Linked DNA regions of Callithrix jacchus. The protein of the gene in region 4 interacts with the protein of the main gene of each other region in a pairwise test. Links are inferred from orthologs where the notes say so. Each region holds a gene or a part of one and is shown on either strand. Other genes may lie near its edges. The genes, in order: RBM15, SF1, BYSL, DDX17 and WBP11.

Region 1 (4,920 bases), on a different chromosome or scaffold from region 4:
CCGGTGCTTCCTATCTCGTTCAGCTGATGCAGAGTTTTTACGGTCTCGCTTGTCACCCTGGCTTTTCTCCAAACTACCTCGTCTGTCTCTGACTGGAGAAGGCCTTTCCAAGAGAAGAAGACGGGAAGATCGATCATTGTCGCTGTTGTAACGATCCCGACTACTGCTCAATTCTGGACTGCGATCAGGAGAAGGAGCGCAGTGACGCTTTCGTGGGCGGTCACTTTCAGGAGACCTATCCAGATGTCGTCCTCCACTCTCCTCAGGCAGCCTTCGCTTCCTAGGCTGGTCTCTGCTGCTAGGCAGATCTCGATCACCTCTGTCCCGGTCCAAGGACCAACCATCTCGCCTGCGATCCAGGCTATCCAGTGGCTCATAAGCAGGCACAGAAGTAACTGCAGTCCGAGTGCTGCGTTCCCTGACTGGGGGTGGGGGTGGCACCCAATCAGAGTCAGGATAAAGGTCCCTATCACGATCTCTGTACAGTAAGGGTGGTGTCCTATCCCGAGCACCCCTCAAAGGGTCAGGTGCCCGATGTCCAAAGGCATCTGTCACCAGCTCATAATGAGTCAAGGGCAGAGGCTGCAGATATTGCTGCTGGTAACGATGCTCAGTGTCGGCAAAGTCTACTCTAAGGCGTCGATCTGGGCCACCAAGTGGGAAGCCCCGCATATGGGTCCAAGCAGCATGTGCTGCATCCAGGCTTTCATACTGGATATATGCCCAACTATCACCTTTTCGGTAATCTATGGTGCGTATGGTGCCAAATCGATCAAACTCTCGTGCCAGGGCAGCAAGAGGAACCCAAGGTCCCAGGCCTCCCACCCAGAGGCGGGTGGTGGGTGTAGCTTTACCATAACCAATTTTGATAGGATTCCGAATTATAATTTTGCCAGACATTGCTAATTTGGCCCGGTGAGACATATCTAGGTTCTCAAATTTGAGAAAGCCATAAGTACTAGTCTGGCCGCGAGAAGGCCTCTTGATATCTACTTCCGTGATGACTCCAAAGCGATCAAACGCCCTTCTTAAATCACTCTCGGTGACAGTGATGTCTAGGTTGCCCAAGAAAAGCGTCCGGTTGGCTCGCTGATCATCCTCGGGTGAAATCTCATCCACTTCTCTGAAAGGAGCAGCACCTGCTCCAGCTCCCACCCTTGGCTCAAGACTGTATGCTGGGCGCACTCTCTCGTAGAAGGGGTAGTCTCTCTCTCTCTCCAGCTCTCGAGGCAATGGTGGCGGAGGTGGAGGGGGCAAGCGGCCAAGAGCCAACTGCTGCAGCCGGTAGTCTCTGTATCCCAAAGCTGCGCCACCAGGGGAAAGGGATCTCTGGCCTCCACCCCCTCCAGGAGGGTGCCGGTGACCACCTACAGAGGCCCCGACCACGCTGGCTGATGGAGGGTAAGTATCTTTGTCTAAAGGGGAGCGGCTGCGGCGCCGGCTCACATACACAGCTTCTATCTTCAGAGGCCGGTCATACAGCACCAGGCGGCCTCTGGCATGCTTGGCCGCCCGCGCGTCCTCCGGCCGCCGGAAGTTCACAAAGGCTACCCGCTCATCCCCGCTGCCAGAACCCGACAGATGACTGATTTTGACACTTACATCACCGAAGCGTTTGAACTCATGAAACAGGCCGTCCTCCACCGCTTCGTCACTCAGCTGGGACCCCAACTCGCTTATCTTCAGAGTCTTGTATTCCCCGCCGTCCCCACTGCCGGGAGCTGAGGAGGCGGCCCCAGAGGAACGTGACTCCCCGCCTCCACCCCGGGAGCTGCTGCGCGACTCGCCCCCGCCTGAGGAATTTTTGGTGCTCGGGGAGCTATAACTATGCAAGCGGCTACTGGAGCTGCCCCCACCGGTGTCATACTCGCGGCTGCCACCTCGGCTGCTGGACTTGTCTAGGTGCAGACTCCGCCGCGACCCGCCGCCGCTATCTGTCTTTCCGCTGCTGCTCCCGTTGCTGCCACCAGAGCCACCTAACTTCTTGCTCCGCTCCCCGCGGGAAGTCGAGTCCTCACCACCACGGGAGCGTTTGGCCTTGACTGGCGAGCGCTCTTTCCCCTTCATTGTTGCGGGTCGTCGGAGGTCGTCTCCGCTGAGGTGATTAACCCGCCACCCCGCGCTCGTTTCACACAGCGGAACCGCACGCCGCCATCTTGGACTCCGCCGCGGCCCAGAATCCCGCCCCGCAGTCCTCATTGGCCAATTGGCTCTCTCTTCTACAGTCTCATTGGAAAAATTATTTGTCTATCTTTACATCTCCCCGCGCTCCAGGAAGGCGCCCGCCCAACCACTGTTATTGGGTTTCCAAAGCCCTAGTCAGAGCATCTCATTGGTTATATTTGTTGTCTATCTTAACGGTTCCTCGCGCCAGGCTGTAGCTCCGCCCCTAGCGCTCTACGGTCATGTGACCCAAAGTCTGGAGGTCTTCATTGGACGAAAAGTCTGCCCTGTAACGGTACTTCTTACTCGGTGAAAGCAGCAACCCCACCTCCTCATCCCTTTCATTGGCTTATAAACCCGTCCTTTAAACCACTATTTAGGAGGTCGGGCCATCCGCTTCAGCGTTTTTTCCAGAGGCAGCCTCACAGCGATATCGCGAGAGAGGGTGAGCTCCCTCTTTCGACCCCCTTTTCCCAACTCCTCCGGCGGCTAAAAGAAGTTTAAATCTGATTGGATGTCCGCAAGGAAGTTGATAAGCTGAAATAACTGTCCATCACTTGCTTAAAGGGGTAGGCCCGTATAAAGGAGGAGGCTGACTGAAGGTGAAAGACTAGAACACGTGCTTACTGTGCGACGTCACTTAGATGTCGCGAGAGGGTGGCTGTGAGCCAGCCCCGCCTCCCCGCCTTTTCGGCGTCCTCCCACAAACATTTGTTCAGTTCCGTGAGGTACTTAGCTGTGCTTCGGCCGTTGGAGTTCGAAACGTTCAGGCTCCCCGCCATCCTACCTGCGCCGGCCCAGGAGCGTGGCAGGCTCTCCGGCTGTCGGGGCCCTCCAGTCCCTCAGGAAGCCGTCTTGGGACGCCTAGAGGACACCATCTTAGGTCGCTGTGGCCGCTGCGTGAAAAGCCGGGGGGAGCCCCGCCCCCGCGCGCGGGAGAGTCCCGCCCGCGGTCACCCGGGCCCGCTGAGCTAGGAGTTCAAGGTTCCTGCAGCCCCAGGTCACGCCGCTGCCCCGGGGCGGTGCTGCCACAAGGAACTTCAAGAACTTCAAGCTGCGCGGCGAAGAAGCACTCCTCGCTTGGGGGCCCTGCTTTCCGGGGCGCTCCCCGTCCCCTCCCAAGTACTCTGGGTAGCAGAGGGGAGTGACCGTCGCTCCCCGCCTCTTGGCCCGCAGGCGGAGCCGGAACTGTCGGGACAGCGTGGACGTGTCTCTGGGCGGCCTGTTTTATTTTGCGAATCTGTGTGGATTTTTTAATTCTGTTGTCCCGTAAAATACCTATGTTTGTTTTTAACATCTAATGCTTCTCCCTGGAAAGTCATCAAGCGAAATTTAGGTTCCATGCAGATAATGTAACTTGGTTTCCCCGCTGTAACTTCTGGTATCCCCCACACTCCGCTTATTGTATTAGAAGCCAGCAGCGCAGGCACCTTGCGGCCGCTCCAGATCCACCTCGTTTGGCTCCTCCAACCGTCCGCTTTACAACTCTCTTTTCCGTAGAGCATTACTGTGGCGGACAGAGCACCTGTGGGAGGTGCAGGAGATGCCGAGCTTAGTGGGGTACGGCCTCCGCCCCAGCGCTCGCCGGCTGCTGGAGGGGCGCAGCGCTGAGGTCACCGCAGCCGTTAGACTGTCTGCAGCCCTCCCAGGTATCCGCCAGGGCGGAGGTTATGAGGATTCTTACATTGATCGCGTCCTCAACCTATTTCCCAAGATCTAATCTATGGTAGAGGGTGTGAGGTGTTTTTAAACATGACATTTTTCAAGGTAACAATAATGTCCCAAAAGCCGAAACCTAAACTTGAAAACGGTGTTAAGATTAGGAACTGTGGGCCGGGCGCGGTGGCTCAAGCCTGTAATCCCAGCACTTTGGGAGGCCGAGGCGGGTGGATCACGAGGTCAAGATACCGAGACCATCCTGGTCAACGTGGTGAAACCCCGTCTCTACTAAAAATACAAAAAATTAGCTGGGCATGGTGGCGCGTGCCTGTAATCCCAGCTACTCAGGAGGCTTGAGGCAGGAGAATTGCCTGAACCCAGGAGGCGGAGGTTGCGGTGAGCCGAGATCGCGCCATTGCACACTCCAGCCTGGGTAACAAGAGCGAAACTCCGTCTCAAAAAAAAAAAAAAAAAAAAAAAGGAACTGTAACCTAAATTTAGCGGCCGAGCCATCCTTTTGGTAAGTAATCCTGAGGAATGTGAAGGGGCAGGCCTTTTATCCCTTTATTAGATCAAAGAAATTTGAAGGAAGAAGCTCAATGGTAAAGCAAGAAAGTCTACGATATTGTAATGTATAAACATATTCATTGTATTAAAATAGAAAATAAAACCACAAGCCATAAAATAATGTGTATAACATGCTATCATTTGTGGTTTTAAAAATTACATTTGTGAGTATGTACATTTTAAAAATATCATTGCTTGGAAACTTCCGTGACAAATATATGGGAAAGTGTTACTAGGATCGCCCTGAGGCTGGGTGTGACGGTCTGGAATAGGAAGGAGACTTCACTTTTCTTTGTAGAAATCTTTTGTTTTATACAAAAAGCACGCTATTACTCCTTCAGTTTAAAAAATAATTATTTTTAATTTTCCTTAAATTATTTTTATGGAAAAAGTTTAAAATAAAGAATACTATAAAGAATTCCATATACCCAACACCCTATTTCAACAGTTGTCAAATCATGTCAGTCTTGTTTCATCTGCATCACACTTCCCACTCTTCCTTTCTCTATTGTTTTCTCCCAGACTTACTGA
Region 2 (3,922 bases), on a different chromosome or scaffold from region 4:
AAGGAGCATGAGAACTCAAGGCTGGCAGGAGAGCCCGAGGGAGCTCAGGCTGGCCCACCCACTGCTGGCAGGAACGCCAGGCGGATGGGAAACCCGGAACCTGGAGATGAACCTGCCCTTGACCACTGTACAAGACTCCCTTGACAAGGGTGGCAGAGATTTAAAAGCCCCACACTTTAAACCAACATCTTTGTGGGTGGTTATGGCACCGTGAAAAACTTACGAACCAAAGAACCCCACAACCAGCTTGGCATGAATGGCCGAAGCCCATGCCCAAAACCATTTGCTCCCCTCTCCTTGGTAAGGGAAGAACTGGAGAGAAGGGAAAAGAATCTAATTGTAGCAGAAGACCGGGGAGAGCATCTCCTTGGACGGAGTCTGAAGAAAGGAAGAGATAAGGAAGTAACAAAGGAAAAAGAAAAAAATTAATAAAAATTTCACGATATGGAGCCAGCGTGTTCCGATTCCGTCCACAAAAATAACTCAGGCTGCTTTGCCGAACCATCCTGTCCACCAGGGGCGTTGCTGAGGCTGTCTGCCTGGAAGGGTCACCAATGGGCGCGGAAAGTCCTCACTCTCATGGCTCGGGCCATCGCCGCCGCGGGGAGGGATCCTGGCGGCCCGGTTTGGGGAGAGGCAAAGGGAGTTGGGTGAGGAGAGAAAGAAGACAAAGAAGACACTCGATGCTACGGGGCGCCAGAAGAGCCCAAGCTGGCGCCCCTACTACCACTGCCCATTCCCAAGCGAATCCTCAGTCGCTTGGCCCAGCCCCGTGCGTGCACACACACACATGCGTGCACACACAATCACATGCGTGCGTCCCAATGTCTGGCTCCATATGGTGAGGTTCGGCGTGTTTAAACGAGACCAATTCTCTCTATATATAATATATATTTTCTTAAAAAACAAGTCTAGTTCTGTGGTGGAGGCGGTGGGGGAGCTGGAGGCATCCCGAAGGGCGGCATGCCCGCCACCCCCATGCCCATCATGGTGACAAAGTTAGAAGGGTCCATGGGAGGCGGAGGAGGAGGGGGCGGGGCATACATCATGCCGGTGGAACCAGGCGGTGGAGGCGGCGGAGGGGGAGGGGCCCCAGGCGGCAGAGGCGGCTGGACCCCGGGGGGCAGGGGCACCATAGTGGGGTTGCCTTGCATCTGAGGGGCTCCTGGAGAAGCTGCGGCAGCCGCCTGCTGCTGTTGCCATGGCGGGATGGACCCTGTGCCAGCGCTCGTGGTGGTAGTCGTCGTATCTGGGGTGGTAAAGAAGCCCAAGGTCACACGCGCGGGGGCACACCGCGGCTGTCTGCGGCTGCTGCCTTGGGATGGGGGCGAGGGGCGCCTGCTCCTTGCTTGGCATGCGGTACGGTGGTGGGGGGCGGGCGGGCGGGGCTGGTGATGGGAGTGGAGGGGTGGGCAGGACTACCCTGGGGTCAGCCTCGAGGTCTCTGGGCTTAACAGAGTAAGCCCTTTGTCACCAATGCCCCTAGAAGGGCTGAGGGGAAGGTACCAGACACAAAAACAGCTCTGACGTCCCTCCGCCCAGCCGCCGCCACCACCGAACGGCACATTCAACCTCAAGGCCACAGCTGCTCTCTCCCCACTGCCCGGTCCCACCTCTGCAGTCTCTCACCCCAATCACAGCCCTCGCCAGAGCAAGCATGCACCATCCCACTCGGGCCATATGCACCAGGCTCGGTCCAGCCAGCCGCTCACTCAGCCCGTGAGGACGGGACTTCTGTCCCCCTACCTACAACAGCAGGCTCCCCTCCAGGTCCCCACGAACCTCTCCCCAGACACAACCACACCAAACATCAGCTCTCCTCTCCAAGATGCCCCTCTACCCCCCGGACCAGGAGGCCCTTTCTGTTTACAACCCCAGCAGAGCTCAGGGGCTCATCCCAAGGCACCTGCCTGCTTGTGTGAGGTGTGAGGCTCTACGGTTCCTCTCAGGCCCACCCCCATCCCACCCACGCCCACAAGCCCAAAATATTCTACTCACTTTGCTGCCATGGCAAGGGGGTACTGGAAGCCATACTGCTGCTGGGCGGAGGGGGTGGCGGAGGCTGCTGCTGCTGCTGTTGCCATGGGGGAAGAGGACCAGAGGGAGGGGGCGGGGGCTGCCCACTGGGAGGCGGAGGCGGCGGCGGCATCATGCCCATAGGCGGTGGCGGCATCATACCTGCAGGTAGGTGTAGGCAAAGATGAGGCTTTAGGGAAAGGGGGGGATTTGGGCCACAGTCCCCACGTGCCCAAACCTAGGTGAAGACCCACAGCCAGCAGACAGCCATTACCTTTTCCTTGATGCAGGCGATAGACCCCAGAGCCCACAGGCGTACTTCCCAGGTACTGATCTTGATGGAAGGAAAGAGCAGGGACTTAGCAGGACATTGGAATTGGCCAGGGAAGCCACCCCTGTGATAACTTGAGTTGCTATCCTTACAGGAGTTCTGAAAACCATGCCTGTAAAAGGCAGTGTCTGTGCCTAGCTGACACAGAATCACTCCCTGTACCAGAATGAAGTCTCGCTCCTTCCAGAGCCATAACCCTGGCAAGTCAGGCAGACCCGGCACACTGCCGAGCCACTTGAGAGCTGCTTCTAGCTCAGTGACCTGACGCAACCCCCTGCTTATCCCAAAGCCCCAAGGTTTCTGGTCTGACACTTACTTACCCATTGGAGGAGGGCCATGGTGCCCAGGTGGGTGGGGGCCCTGGTTCATCGGAGGTGGTGGTGGCTGCATCCAAGGGGGTGGGGGTCCATTGGGGTTGTGCTGCATGGGATGTCCACCATGCCCACCTGTCAGGCTGGGTAACGGGTGTGGGAAGCTGTGGGGGCCGCCTCCGGGCCCACCAGGACCACCTCCGTGCATGCCATGGTAAGGCCGACTCTCTGAAGGGCCAGAATTCATCCAGGGTGGGCGACTCTGAGTGGTGGACATGAGAGACTACGTGAGAGCATTTCCAGCCAACGTCCCTGCCTGCGCCCCCTGGTGGCAACATTGTTCTTCCGTTCATGCCACAGGACTAGAACACAAGAACGAGGTCTTCCCAAAGTGAGAAAAGTCCCCAATTGGCTTGAGATCCCAGAAGAACAATGTTGCCATCCATATCCATCGATCTGCTCTACCCAAAGCACATGGCCATAGCTCCCAGTCTCTGCAGAAGAGAATGGGGAAGCCAGACCAAGAGAACCTGCCCCCAGGCTCACCGGCGGAGGTGGGTTGTTGGCGGGAGCAGCAGGACGAGGTGCACTGGCCAGGGGTGTGGTGGCAGGCCCAGAGGTGGAGCCCACAGATGCTGGGACGGGCGCTTCACCCAGTTCAGCCATGAGGGACAAATATTCTTTATCCATCCGTGCTTTATCCTGAGCTGACTGGGGATCACCAGGCCTGAGGTGGGGTGGGAGACAGAGAGAAAGTGGAAAAACTCATTACGGAAGCTTTTACCCTGAGAAACCAACATACAGAAAGTGTTGAAGGATTCAATCATCAGATCATTACATCTTTCTAACCCCTTACTGAACATGGCTCTCAACAGTCTCTCAACAATCTTCAGTGTCGTGCCCAGTTCTGCATCTGAGATCGCCAGAGCAGAGGCCCTGGGCGAAGAGCACAGACGACCCTAAGCATCACTGAAGCACAGGTTCTCTCAACTCAATTCCATCAAACTTCATTCCCAGTTTGAGAAAAGAAAATCTATGTAAGACTGGCCCAACTGCCCGAACGACCTTCCTGAACAAAAGCTTACATATTTGCCAGAATAAAAAGGTGCTGGTATCCAGTGCCAACTTGCAACTGGTCAGAAAGAATTTTTCTTTTTTTTTTTTTTTAGAGGGAGGGAGAAAAGGTAGAGGCGACGGAGATGGAAAAACCATCTCCGTCGTCTCTACCCCCAAGAAACAAGTCTTCTCGAACCAATTCTGAATA
Region 3 (4,126 bases), on a different chromosome or scaffold from region 4:
ATATCTTCCACATCTCGGGGGACTGCGCTCTGAAGCTCACGCCTGATTTCGGGGGATAGTTGTGGATGGGGCTGCAGCCGGAGCAGTTCTAGGAGGGCCTCTTTCTGGTCTGCGGCCAAGTCGGCCTTGTAGCGCTGGACCAAAGTCAGGAGGCACTGGTGCCAGAGCACAGGCAGTTCACGCTTCTCTGTCCGGAACCCCAGGAAGTGGAAGACTAGGGCATCCAGCACCCGGTAAGGCAGTGCATACTTCTTATCTAGCAGCAGTCGCAGGAAGATGCTGTTGGCACCGCTGTATTCCATCTCAGCAATTTTCAGCATGGCCGCACTGATGGGAAAAGGGAGGTGGGGTGAAGTTGGCGGGGAAAGCATTGGAAGAAGGATCCTACTTCTCCTCTGTGCTTTCCCCCTTTTTTCTTCCCCTCTGCTGGCCCTTACACTATGGTATTCCCTAGGGGCCTTCTCACCTACCCAATTGTATTATACTCCCTTGACTCCAGTCACCATCTCTACAAGCATCCACCCAAATCTCTACCTCTAGCACAGACTGCTTGTTTCAGTACCCAACTAGAGTATGGTCCAAACATCTAAACATCTCTACCCTAACTACTTTCTTCCTGTGCTTCCTACTTATTTGTTCATCTATTTACTGAGCACTTATTTATTTATGAGACAGATATATTTACTTATTTATGAGATGAAGTCTCACCCTGTCACTCAGGCTGGAGTAAAATGGTGCAATCTTGGCTCACTGCAACCTCTGCCTCCTGGGTTCAAATGATTCTCCTGCCTCAGCTTCCAGAGTAGCTGGGATTATAGGTGTGTGCCACCAAGCCCAGCTACTTTTTGTATTTTTAGTAGAGATGGGGTTTCACTATGTTGGCCAGGCTGGTCTCGAACTCCTGACCTTGTGATCAACCGGCCTCAGCCTCCCAAAGTGCTAGGATTACAGGCGTGAGCCACTGAGCCCAGCCTCAGCACTTTATACCAGGTACTTAGGCCCTGTTGTTGCAGAACTTACATTTAGGGGGATAATGATATAAACCCAAGGCTATCCTTAGCTCCTTCTCCACTCTGCGCATCCCCAAGTCCTGGCAATTCCACTACCTGGATATCCACTGACCAGCCCTCCTCCACCCCCGACAATGCTACCTGGAGTGCAACACAGGGATGGAGCACTTGGTGATGATGCTACCCACAATGATGGCTTCCCGAAGGGTACAAGTGCCAGACTCGCACAGTGGAATCAGGATCCCTGAGGAGAGTCAAAGGGCAGTCACTATGAGCCCAGGTTAAGAAAAAGGAGTTACAGGAAGCATTCCCACCCAGCCCAGGGGCAGCCAGCCAGCCATTTCCCACACCAGGCCTGCTGTGTTCCCTGTAGGAGCTCCAGCCCTTCCCTTTCTTCCCTGCCTTGGGGATCCCACCTTTGAACCAGGCTCCAGGTTTGAAAAGGGCCTTCTTGAGAGCCATGTAGAGATGGAAGTTGAGTCGTTTGTATTCAGCAATGTCATCTCGTATTCGTGGGAGCAGGACAAGATTGTAAAAGCGCTGGGCCATGCGTTCCTTCAGGTTAGAGGCAAAAATCCTAGTGGGAGTTAAGTGGGGAGTTTCCAAGTCACACGACAGTCTGGACCCAGCCCATTAAATATCATCATGGATAGTGCATACAAAAGGTTTTAAAGTAAAATAAGAGATCTTTTTCTCAGTGAGGGATATGTGGGAGCTGTGTGCATACAACACCCATCAACTTAGAGAGAGAACAGGAGGGGCAACGAGATGTACCCAAATGGGGAGTGCTGTTTGTCTGGGGGAGAGCCAGAGCTCATGCAAACTGATGGCTACTCAGCTACTCTCCTTCCTCTTGCTGTCACAGCTCCTCTCAACCCTGCTATCACGAGGGCCCTGAGCATGCCTGGGTAGTCATAGACTTCTGAGGCCCCGCTATGGGGTTGTATCCCAGTGGCTGTAAAAGCCTCTTCCCTAGAAATCCATCATGGAGGGTTTCTAGCTGGGTCTTGGCTACAAAACACGACAGAGGAAAAGCTAGGAAAATGATGCTATAAAGTAGCACAGAGAGGGCCATGGGGCAAAGCTCAAATGCCCTAGGGGTAGAGGCAAGGAGAGCCTGTCCATCCCAAGCCCAGCCTGTACCTATAGACCAAGGCCCCCGAACCCCCATCCACCCTACCTGGTGGCTTGGTACATGGCAGCTGCAGTCCAGGCCTCAGGCTCTGTGACATAGAGGATTTGCTCCCAGTTGGAGAGTGCAGGGATGATCTTAAATGCCTTGGGCAGTTTCCCACAGCGATACTTAGATAATACCTAGGGATGAGGGAGGTAAAATAATCATCGTCATCCACATATGGCGAGCTTGCTGTGGGTTAGGAACTTGTCTGGGTGCTTTTAATATATTAACTCATTTCATGCTCACAATAACTGTATAAGGAGGGGCCATTATTTTGCTCATTATACAGATGACCAGAGAAAAGTTCCAGTAACTGATCCAAGGTTGCCAAGTCATTTATAGGCAGAGCAGGAATCTGAACCCACACACTCTGCTTCTTAGGTCTGTTTTCTGCTCCCATGACTTCTTTAGTATGAGATGTGGGCAAAAGGCAAAAAAGTCCCCGAATGGGTCTTCAACCATGGCTCCTCTCTCAGCTCTTACCTCCCGGACCCCCCTGTAGACCTCCAGGACCCGGGGGTCCAGCTGGGGCATAGGGAAGCCCGACACCTCTGACATGACTGTCTCAACCTCTGTCTGCTTCTCAGTCAGCTTCTCCATGATGATGTCAGCCAGGGTGCGCCTAAGAGGGGAGGTGTCAAGGGGAGGGGAGAGAGGAGGGAAGGAGTGCTGTGGTCACTGTCCAGGAAGCTCCAGACTCCCCACAGTCCTTGTGTGCACTGACATACTGCAATCCTGCTGGGTGATATGCAACTTCAGTTCCCTCTCTGTGCCCATCCATCCACCACAGAATCGCTGCAGCGTGCAAAGGAACTGAACGTCATTCCATTTAGGACAAAGCTGGCAGTTGTATGGAGGTTATTATGAACCTGAACTCTGAAGTTGGTCTGCCCAGGTTCAAATCCTGGCTTGCCTACTCCCTGTATGATCTTGGGCATGTTACTTTACCTTTCTATGCCTCTGTTTTCCTCATTCGTTAAACAGGAATAATAATGGTACCCACTTTATAATACACTTCAGAGGCTGTTGAAGTGTATTTATTTATTTATTTTTTTGAGACAGGGTCTAGCTCTGTTGCCCAGGCTGGCGTGCAGTGGCACCATCACGGCTCCCTGCAGCCTCCATCTCTCTGGCTCAAGCGATCTTCCGATCTCAGTCTCCCCACTAGCTGGGACCACAGGCACATAGCACAACACCCAGCTAATTTTTTATTCTTTTGTAGAGATGGGGTCTTTTCATGTTGCCCAGGCTGGTCTCACACTCCTGGGCTCCTGCCTTGGCTTCCCAAAGTGCTGAGATTACAGGTGTGGGCCACCATGCCCAGCCTGAAATGTACTTAAAGCTGCTCCTGAGTTGGGTGCAGTGACTCACACCTGTAATCCCAAAAATGGGAGGCTGAGGGAGGTCAGGAGTTCAAGACCAGCCTGGTTAACATGGTGAAATCCTGTCTCTATTAAAAATACAAAAATTAGCCGGGCGTGGTGGTGCATGCCAGTAATCTTGAGAAGTTGAGGTTGCAGCGAGCAGAGATCACACCACTGACCTCCAGCCTGGGTGGCTGACAGAGTGAGACTGTCACAAAACAAAACAAAAAAACAAACTGCTCCTCTTTTCTGAGGTCCTACTCAGTGCCAGGCACTGAGTTTGGGACTTTTCAGTCCTAAAGTCAGTGCAACACTTATGGGACACGGAAACTTATGCAGACATGGGAACTGGGCCTCAGGTTAGTAACTCACCCAAGGCCTCATAGCTGTCAGGTGGGGAGTAACAGTCAAACTCAGGTTTTTGAAGTTCTTAAGGTACTTTATAGGACCTTATAATATGCCTTTAAACTAAATGGCCTCTTGACTGTTGAATCCACATGGATCTAGGTTTGCTTTCTGAAGATGCTAGCTATCATTTCCTGCGACTGCCTGGAGTTCTGTTTACTTCAGGGAGC
Region 4 (4,126 bases):
CATAGTACTTTCATATATGTATCAATTTAACTTTGCAAGGCTCCTACTTACTTTGTAAGTTAATTAATGATGGAGGTGATTAAGAGTTCTTTTTTTTTTTTTCTGTTAAGGGCTTTTTTTTGTATTTTTAGTAGAGACAGGGTTTCACCATGTTGGCCAGGATGGACTTGATCTCCTGACCTCGTGATCTGCCTGCCTCAGCCTCCCAAAGTGCTGGGACTACAGGCGTGAGCCACTGCGCCCTGCCAAGAGTTCTATTTTCTATAGGAGAAAACAAATATTTAAGTAACTCGTCCAAGGTCAGAACTAGGAAGAGGAAGAAAAAGTGGAACCTGGACCCAAGTACTCTTTCTATTATACTTCCTTCTGAAAGAGTAACCATTTCATTTGTAAAGTCCAAAACAATGATAATGAGGCACAACAACAGACAAATTTTGGCTGGGCACAGTGGCTCTACTTAAAAAAAAAAAAAAAAAAAAAAAATAGTGGGGCATGGTGACATGTGCCTGTAATCCCAGCTACTCAGGAGGCTGAGGTGGGAAAATTGCTTAAATTTGGGACGTAGAGGTTGCAGTGAGCCAAGGTCACGCCACAACACTCTACCCTGGGGGACAGAGCAAGACCTCATTTCAAAAAAAAAAAAAAAAAAGACAACACCAATATATTTTTTTCACTGACAGTTGAAAAGACATGACCTAATATATAATAGTTTCAATCAGGTATAATAAATAGATTAGGAAGCATTATCAACAAATAACAAATTAAATGCATATTTAAACTGGCCCCCTTTTATGAGGATTACTGATCTTAGTTAAGAATATAAGAAAAATATCAGCTGGGTGTAGTGGCTCACACCTCTAATTCCAGTACTCTGGGAAGCCAAAGCGGGTAGATTGCTCAAGCTAGGGAGTTTGAAACTAGCCTGGGCAACGTGGCAAAACCCAGTCTCTGGGGGGGAGGGGAAGGGGAGGTGATTAAGAAAAAAAATTTTTTTAAAAATATCACCACACTAGAATAAAATGTAAAACAGCAACATTAGTGTATGAATAAACTCTAACCACTATGTCTACTGGTTCAATAATCTGTACATTAAAACACACACACACAAACTTACTGGAGTCAGCCTTGCTACTTCCGGATGTTCCACATAAAAATTTTTCTCAAACTTGGGGAGCTCGCTCAAATCCCACTTTTTTTTACGCAAACGCTCCCCAGGATTACCAAATTTCTTCGGGGGGAGGCCACCACCACCTCTTGCTCCAAATCTAGGAACATCAGAATTTTTAGTTCATCAGTATTTTTGAAGTAATATATCTTACACACCATAAAAAGATTCAAACAAGATAGACTACTACCAGCCTACCTCCAAAAGACCATGTTATTCACTCCTATTTAAAGGTATGGAGAAGTGTGTAAAACTTCCTTTACTACCCAACAAGAGTAACTGTTTATGAGTATGGCTATAATAGGTGAAAAATAAAAAATTCCTGTATACATACTAAGGATTACAATCACAGATTCTGGAACCAGACATGGTTTGAGTTTTGATTCTGCCACTTACTGTATAATTTAATTATTTAACTTCTACACACCTCAGTTTCCTATGCAAGTTAGAAATAATACCACCTATTTCAGAGGCTGCTGAGAAAAAGATCTAATAATGTGTAATGTGCTATAAAAGTAACTGGCATAACAAGCACTCAGTACAAGCAAGCATCATTCCAGTCAACAAATAGTTATTAGGTACCAACTATGTATCAGTTACTATTTGAAGTGGTGCCGTGCTGGAGTTACTAAAGTAAATAAAACAGAAACAAGTCTCTACTCTTGTGTAACAGAGAGGCAGGCAAAGGATGACATTAGTTTCAGTTTCAGTTAAAGGCAAGATTGTGGACAAGGAAGAAAATACACTCCAAGCATGTCCCTCAGTCTTCTTGGGCCCTTCCCCCTTTAAACTGTGACGAGCACTCCTCGTAGACCGGTCTTCATTTTTAGCTTATTCTAATAAAAGAGCTGAACAAGCCACGTTCAGTGGCTCACAATCCCAGCACTTTGGGAAGCCGAGGCAGACAGATCACTTGAGGTCAGGAGTTCTGATCAGCCTGGCCAACATGGAGAAACCCTGTCTCTACTAAACAGTGGTGGTGCACGCCTGTAATCCCAGTTACTTGGGAGGCTGAGGCCGGAGAACAGCTGGAACCAGGGTGGCAGAGGTTGCAGTAAGCTGAGACCACACCACTGCACTCCAGTCTGGGAGACAGAGGGTGACTCCATCTCCAAAAAAAAAAAAAGCTGAACATACATTTATGACCTCTCCTTCTTCGTCTCTTTTACCTTGTATCTCCTCCTTGTTCCCAAACGGTATTATTAATGGACAGAAAAGCCACTAACAAGACTTATTTAAGGTTTTAAAAGTCAACTAATTACTTGAGATCAACTTCCTGCTTTTTACATACCTTTCACAACAAACAAGCTCAAGGGGAATACAAATATGACCACTAGCCTAAGCTAAAATTTAACAAATCAGAAGCTACTTTTCCTAGAAATATCTTAACATGGCCTTCATCTTCCCTATTTCAATCTTGTGAAGTGCAGGGCTGTGTCTGGCACACGAACTGTACAGCATTTTTTTCACTGACAACTTCTTTACTCATTGTAATATACTGTACTTAATTTAGGTTCCTTTTCCCACTCTAACCCACTTGTACCATCATCTCCCCACCCCAAGACAGAGGCTCACTCCGTCACCCAGGCTGGAGTGCTGTGGCACAATCTCAGCTCACTGCAACCTCCGCCCCCCAGGGTTTAAGCAATTCTCCTGCCTCAGCCTCCAGATTAGCTGGGATTACAGGTGTGCACCACCACGCCCAGCTAGTTTTTGTTTGTTTTCTTTTTTTTAGTAGAGATGGGTTTTTACCATGTTCACCAGGCTGGTCTCAAAAACTCCTGACATCATGATCTGTCCACCTCGGCCTCCCAAAACCAAAGTGCTGGGATTACAGGCATGAGTCACCGTGCCTGGCCATAACATCATCTTATATAAAGTTTCACTTTATAACTGACAGGCAGCAGGTGTATTATTCTATAGGGCCTCAATTTCCTGCAATTCAAAGCATTAGAACTCTGGCTTAACCAGCTATATATTCCTCTAAACACAAATATAACAAAAATTGATGACAGGAAAATTTTATTGGGATCACTGGATACCTACATTCAACAGGTAGAACGTGGCTAATTCTTTATACCACTGCTGAGGCAGTAAGACAAATTAAGAATCAAAACAGGAAGAGCACATAGCATTGGCATACACATGTCAACAACATCTTTAATGTACTCCTCGGCTTAAGGCTCAATAGTGCAATAGTGAACAGACCAAAAGGCCACCTCAATTGCCACCCCCTACACTTGCAAATGAAGCAGCTAAATAAGGCACTTTTCAAGAAGTACCAAGTCCTTGGATTACCACTCTCGCAAATTATAAAATATTCCATTGTTACTGCTGCATTGCAATACCCAAACCTCAATAATCTACGAAAAAATAAAACTTTTGAAAGTGATGTTCCTGGTAACGCTTTAAACTAATCATAACCTCATTACCATTTATGTATTTTTTCCTCTCTCCATATTTCTCTGGCTATTTAAGATATACTACCCTACACTATATATCTAATTTGAAACATGGAGTTCTTGGAAAATATGCTGTCTTCCATGTTTATAATTAATGCTGACATAATTAATGACCTCAAAATTGAAGAAAATCTTTTACTTTTGAGCATATCCATATCTTTAAATATACACATCGTACTCTGGTATAGTATGCTCCTGAAATGTTTTTATCCAGTCAGCAATTAACAGCTTAACTTGACTTTGCAAAAAAATTCAGCTTTGAAGATTCATGTTAACATTAAAAATACTACCTCAAATGTACAGTGCCTATCATTTTTGCATCGCACATGTAAAACACATGAACTGACCTCACCCATTCCCTTTTCAAAGTAACCACCACTTCAACTGTGTAACATTCAGTTAAGAGTAGAACAGCAATTCAAATCAAGAACATGTCTTGGGAAAGGGAGAGCTGGGGCAGATCTTGAAAGGCCAGTTCATTTGAAATTTTTTAAAAATG
Region 5 (4,126 bases), on a different chromosome or scaffold from region 4:
TGTGTATAGTAAAAACTCAGTAAGTATGAGCTGAGTGAATATCAAGTCAGAGTTAAGACAGCCATTTTCATAACATGTGTCTTGATGAGTATATATAAAAAAAATCTGGTTGGGTGTGGTAGCTCACGCCTGTACTTCCAGCACTTTGGGAGGCCGAGGCAGGTGGATGACCTGTGGTCAGGAGTTTGAGAACAGCCTGGCCAACATGGTAAAACCCCATCTCTTCTACAAATACAAAAATGAGCTAGGTGTGGTGGCAGGCACCTGTAATCCCAGCTACTTGGGAGACTGAGGCTACTTGGGAGAATCGCTTGAACCCAGGAGGTGGAGATTGCAGTGAGCTGAGATTGCGCCACTGCACTCCAAACTGAGCAACAAGTGTGAGACTGTCTTAAAAAAAAAAAAAAGAAAAAGAAAAATCTCTTGGCAGAATAAAAGGAAAAGAAGGCAAGAGACCACATAGTCACAGAAAAAAATGGAGCTGCTGTGGCTCTAATGGCTTTCTACTTTCTAGTTCTGGTTCCTACCTAACGGTTCTCTATACATTACCAGCTCTATCTAGTCTTTTTAACTAGCTTTTTTTGTTGGCAACCATGATTCTTAAGACACAGCAGGGGAAAATTTGTCATCAATATTAATGTTAGTATTGCATAGTATTATATAAGTATTCTGTTGTAGGCTACAAAAATAATCCCAAAAGAAGCTCCCAAACTGCTGAGGTTTGCAGAATTAGTGTGCATTTTGCACTGCCAGTACCTATTACAAAGATTAAAATGTTCTTGACAAATATCATAGCTTCTTTTAAAGAGTACATGTAACTCAATTTGAATTTTGTAATAATCAAAACATACACATTATAGACACAATATGTTTCATGATTCCACTCATGAGTGTACCTGGGTTTAAATTCTGATCCTGGTTCATAAGATATAAGATACCATAAAAGGGCTTCAAAGGTGGGGCTATTCTCCTTTCTTTCCTATAACATACCATAACATATGCTTATGCTAGTGAATAGTTCTTATACCTTTTACCCTAAAGTGAACTTTATCACAGACATTTTTATTACACTGTTTAATGTTTTTCCTCATAAATATCCACTGAGTACTTACTGTGTCAAAAACTTTCAAAATTTTAATACACAAAGATGAATACAGCTATGACCCCTACTTCCAAAGACTTCACAGGACTTTCACAGATTGGCTAATAAATTAGGACCTTCGGCTTGTTTCCTCTTTATCGATCAATTTGTAATCCTTCCTCTGCACATACCTGACTTCTTTTCTTCATTGTTGTCTCTCTCCCCGTCATCACGGTGCACAAATTCATCCCCCTCACTTTCTCCATCTGATTTGTCAGTGTCACTGTCATCAGTACTGTCATCATGCTTATCTTGATCCATGTCCTCAGGATAGCCATCATCTTCACTGGTGCTAGAAATATCATCATCATGACCTCGCTGGGCTGAAAAGTGGGAAGGGAACATGGAGAAGTAACATTACTGGATCCTCTAAAACATGGTACCCAGAAATACTGAAAATTATGCTATTTTAACTCAAGACTGTAACAATTCTTACAAAAAAAAAATTCCTGTACATAGCTATTCATACAGTCTAACAATATTTTCATTTGCCAATAATTTTAAACACTACTTTTTGGTAATTTAAGATTTTTTTAAAAAGAGGTTCTAATTTGAGAACTCATTTCCTTTGGCAACAATCATGTTTATATACACATAGAGTCAGTGAATGTATACAACACTGTAGTCTGATGACAACGAGCTAAAAGGGAACAAGATATACAAGTCTTAAAAGATAGAGTGACATCTCTAAGAAGAGCTTAATTTAAAACACAGTATACTTATGTATGATGCTGTTACTTGGGTAGATCCTATAATTTACCCGACTGTATGTATATTAGTATTTACATGACATCCTCTCATTTACTTCCTAAGCTCTGAGAGTGGTGAACAATATGTTAAACAGGGCCAACATAAAAAATGGTCATTATAACAGCAAAAGAACAGTCACTTCTCACCAAGTTCAGGACTATATAACATGTCTTCATCTCGCCTACGAGGGGGAAGATCGAGGGCAAAACCAACTTTACGGCCATACATCTGCACGACTTGAGGAGGAGGTGGACCAGGAGGAGGGCCAGGAGGTTTTCTGCCAGGGGGTAAACGTGGAACACCATGTCCAAGAAGAGGAAGGATGGAAACTGCCCGAGTTGGAGGTCTGTCAAAAAAAAACCAAAAAACCCCACAGTAATCACTTAATAATAATGAGATATTTTTCTCTTCTAAACAATTTTCAAGGGATTTCTTATTTTACATTTAATCAAATTTCATACTGTTTACATCCACATTGTCTTTTATTTACCCCAGCATTAATTCTGGTAGTGGACAGTCAATTTGTGCTTTTACCAAATGAGCTCTGATTGTGAACTGCTTCCTTACCCATAGGCTGAGGTTTTCTTTAGGATGGAGGGTGGCTGGGCACCAGGAAGTGGAATGTCCTGGATCAAAATGTTGGAAGGAGCATGTGGCATATCTGGCAAAGGAATACTCTCCACTTCCACATGCTGAGCATTCTGAAACAGAGAGAACCTTTCAGTATTACGATAAAAAAATCATCCATAAACTAAACGCTATAAATGACAAGTCAGCTGTTTCATGACTCAGACATGCTTTCCAACTAACATAAATATCACTAAAAACTCCCACAAAAATAGCCTCATGTCAATACTTCCAAAGACTGTCAAAGAATTGAAAGAAATCTTTATTACTGAAAACACCAAAACACAGCTGTTTTTTCTCCTCTTACTATCAGGTAAGTCTTTTTGTATATGATTCGAAATAGCTGTTGTTTAGAGAAATCCAACTGTTAAAAGTACCTAACACCAAAGTTACCCTATTTAATATGCAGGGTGATAGAAAAATAATACATGTCAACTAACAAATGTATATATCCAGTGGCGCAGGTTGGGCCCATGAGCTTGCCTATGTTGAATTTCTGTTGTGTATTAGCTTAGCCTACCTAAGCAAGTTAACTTGTGCCCTTATCTGTAAAATGAGGGGCATATTACCTCCTTTACAGAAATAACAGCATTTGATTTTTTCCCTTCTTTGAGGTAAAATTTACAAAACGTACAAATTCAGTCAAGTTTTGACAAATGCATATACCTCATACTCCTTCCCAATCCACCTCTAATATCCCCCAAGGCAACCACTGCTACATTTTTTTTTCCTGCATAGATTAGTTGTACCTAGAAATACAGATTAGTTGTACATATATTGTTGTACATACATTGTACACAGATTAGTTGTATTCTAGAAATGAAATTGTAACGATGAAATTAACTTAGCTTGTTGAGATTTATTGGTAATTTTTGTTATATTTCATGTTGCTTTGAGTATTAGATTATCCCTTTTACTGCTGAACAGTATTCCATTGTATAAATATACTACATTTTAATTATCCATTATCTTATTAGTGAATACTAGGCTGATCCTAGTTTTGAATTAATTTCTCCTGTTTAAATACAGAGGATTAGATTTGCTGGTTCATAGGGTAGACATGTTTAGTTTTAGAAGAAATTGCTATGAGGAAGAGGTTCAGCATGATCCATTCTCCCATTAACTTTTTAAATCTAAGTACAACTGAGCATCCCTAATGGAAAATTTAAAATGCTCCAAAATCCTAAACATTTTGACTCCCATATGATGCATGGTGGAAAAATCCACACCTGATGTAATATGATGGGCCGCAGTTTTGTTTCATACACAAAATTATCTTCAGACTATGTGTATATGAAATATAAATTTCATGTTTAGACTCAGGTCCAGTCCCCAAAATATATGCAAATAATCCCCCTCCCTCCCTAAGAAAAACCCCTAAATCCAAAACACTTCTGGTCTCAAGCATTTTGCATAAGGGATACTCAATCTGTATAATATTTTAGTTTATCTCTCAAAAAAAAAAAAACACCTTGATTACCTTGACAGCATCAAAATATTGGCTAAGTTGAGCCCTCTTCTGCTCATACTCTACTTCTAGCTTTCTCAATTCTTTGTAAATATCTGGATTCTCTTTTTCATAGAGTCGCAGAATACGTTCAAAGGTTT

Evidence for each region.
Region 1: the proteins of DDX17 (region 4) and RBM15 interact in binary tests that used the Homo sapiens proteins (3 or more experiments, as listed by UniProt). The link is inferred for Callithrix jacchus from reciprocal best matches to the Homo sapiens genes DDX17 and RBM15.
Region 2: the proteins of DDX17 (region 4) and SF1 interact in binary tests that used the Homo sapiens proteins (3 or more experiments, as listed by UniProt). The link is inferred for Callithrix jacchus from reciprocal best matches to the Homo sapiens genes DDX17 and SF1.
Region 3: the proteins of DDX17 (region 4) and BYSL interact in binary tests that used the Homo sapiens proteins (3 or more experiments, as listed by UniProt). The two-hybrid records come from large-scale screens. The link is inferred for Callithrix jacchus from reciprocal best matches to the Homo sapiens genes DDX17 and BYSL.
Region 5: the proteins of DDX17 (region 4) and WBP11 interact in a two-hybrid assay, tested with the Homo sapiens proteins (3 studies listed by BioGRID and IntAct). The link is inferred for Callithrix jacchus from reciprocal best matches to the Homo sapiens genes DDX17 and WBP11.

The regions. Positions count from the first base shown.
Region 1 is NC_133508.1:148,190,147-148,195,066, reverse strand, and holds the start of RBM15 (RNA-binding protein 15), read right to left. Parts: upstream 3,293-4,920; 5' UTR 2,200-3,292; coding exon 1-2,199. UniProt on the Homo sapiens protein: RNA-binding protein that acts as a key regulator of N6-methyladenosine (m6A) methylation of RNAs, thereby regulating different processes, such as hematopoietic cell homeostasis, alternative splicing of mRNAs and X chromosome inactivation mediated by Xist RNA.
Region 2 is NC_133511.1:121,834,887-121,838,808, forward strand, and holds the end of SF1 (splicing factor 1), read right to left. Parts: intron 3,386-3,922; coding exon 3,205-3,385; intron 2,942-3,204; coding exon 2,668-2,941; coding exon of another isoform or gene 2,664-2,667; intron 2,351-2,663; coding exon 2,291-2,350; intron 2,179-2,290; coding exon 1,999-2,178; intron 1,250-1,998; coding exon 912-1,249; 3' UTR 872-911; downstream 1-871. UniProt on the Homo sapiens protein: Necessary for the ATP-dependent first step of spliceosome assembly. Binds to the intron branch point sequence (BPS) 5'-UACUAAC-3' of the pre-mRNA. May act as transcription repressor.
Region 3 is NC_133505.1:50,431,382-50,435,507, reverse strand, and holds part of BYSL (bystin), read right to left. Parts: intron 2,810-4,126; coding exon 2,671-2,809; intron 2,325-2,670; coding exon 2,191-2,324; intron 1,588-2,190; coding exon 1,427-1,587; intron 1,255-1,426; coding exon 1,152-1,254; intron 328-1,151; coding exon 1-327. UniProt on the Homo sapiens protein: Required for processing of 20S pre-rRNA precursor and biogenesis of 40S ribosomal subunits. May be required for trophinin-dependent regulation of cell adhesion during implantation of human embryos.
Region 4 is NC_133502.1:209,415,435-209,419,560, forward strand, and holds part of DDX17 (putative ATP-dependent RNA helicase DDX17), read right to left. Parts: intron 1,266-4,126; coding exon 1,115-1,265; intron 1-1,114. UniProt on the Homo sapiens protein: As an RNA helicase, unwinds RNA and alters RNA structures through ATP binding and hydrolysis.
Region 5 is NC_133510.1:8,532,906-8,537,031, reverse strand, and holds part of WBP11 (WW domain-binding protein 11), read right to left. Parts: coding exon 3,999-4,126; intron 2,593-3,998; coding exon 2,459-2,592; intron 2,238-2,458; coding exon 2,038-2,237; intron 1,465-2,037; coding exon 1,273-1,464; intron 1-1,272. UniProt on the Homo sapiens protein: Activates pre-mRNA splicing. May inhibit PP1 phosphatase activity.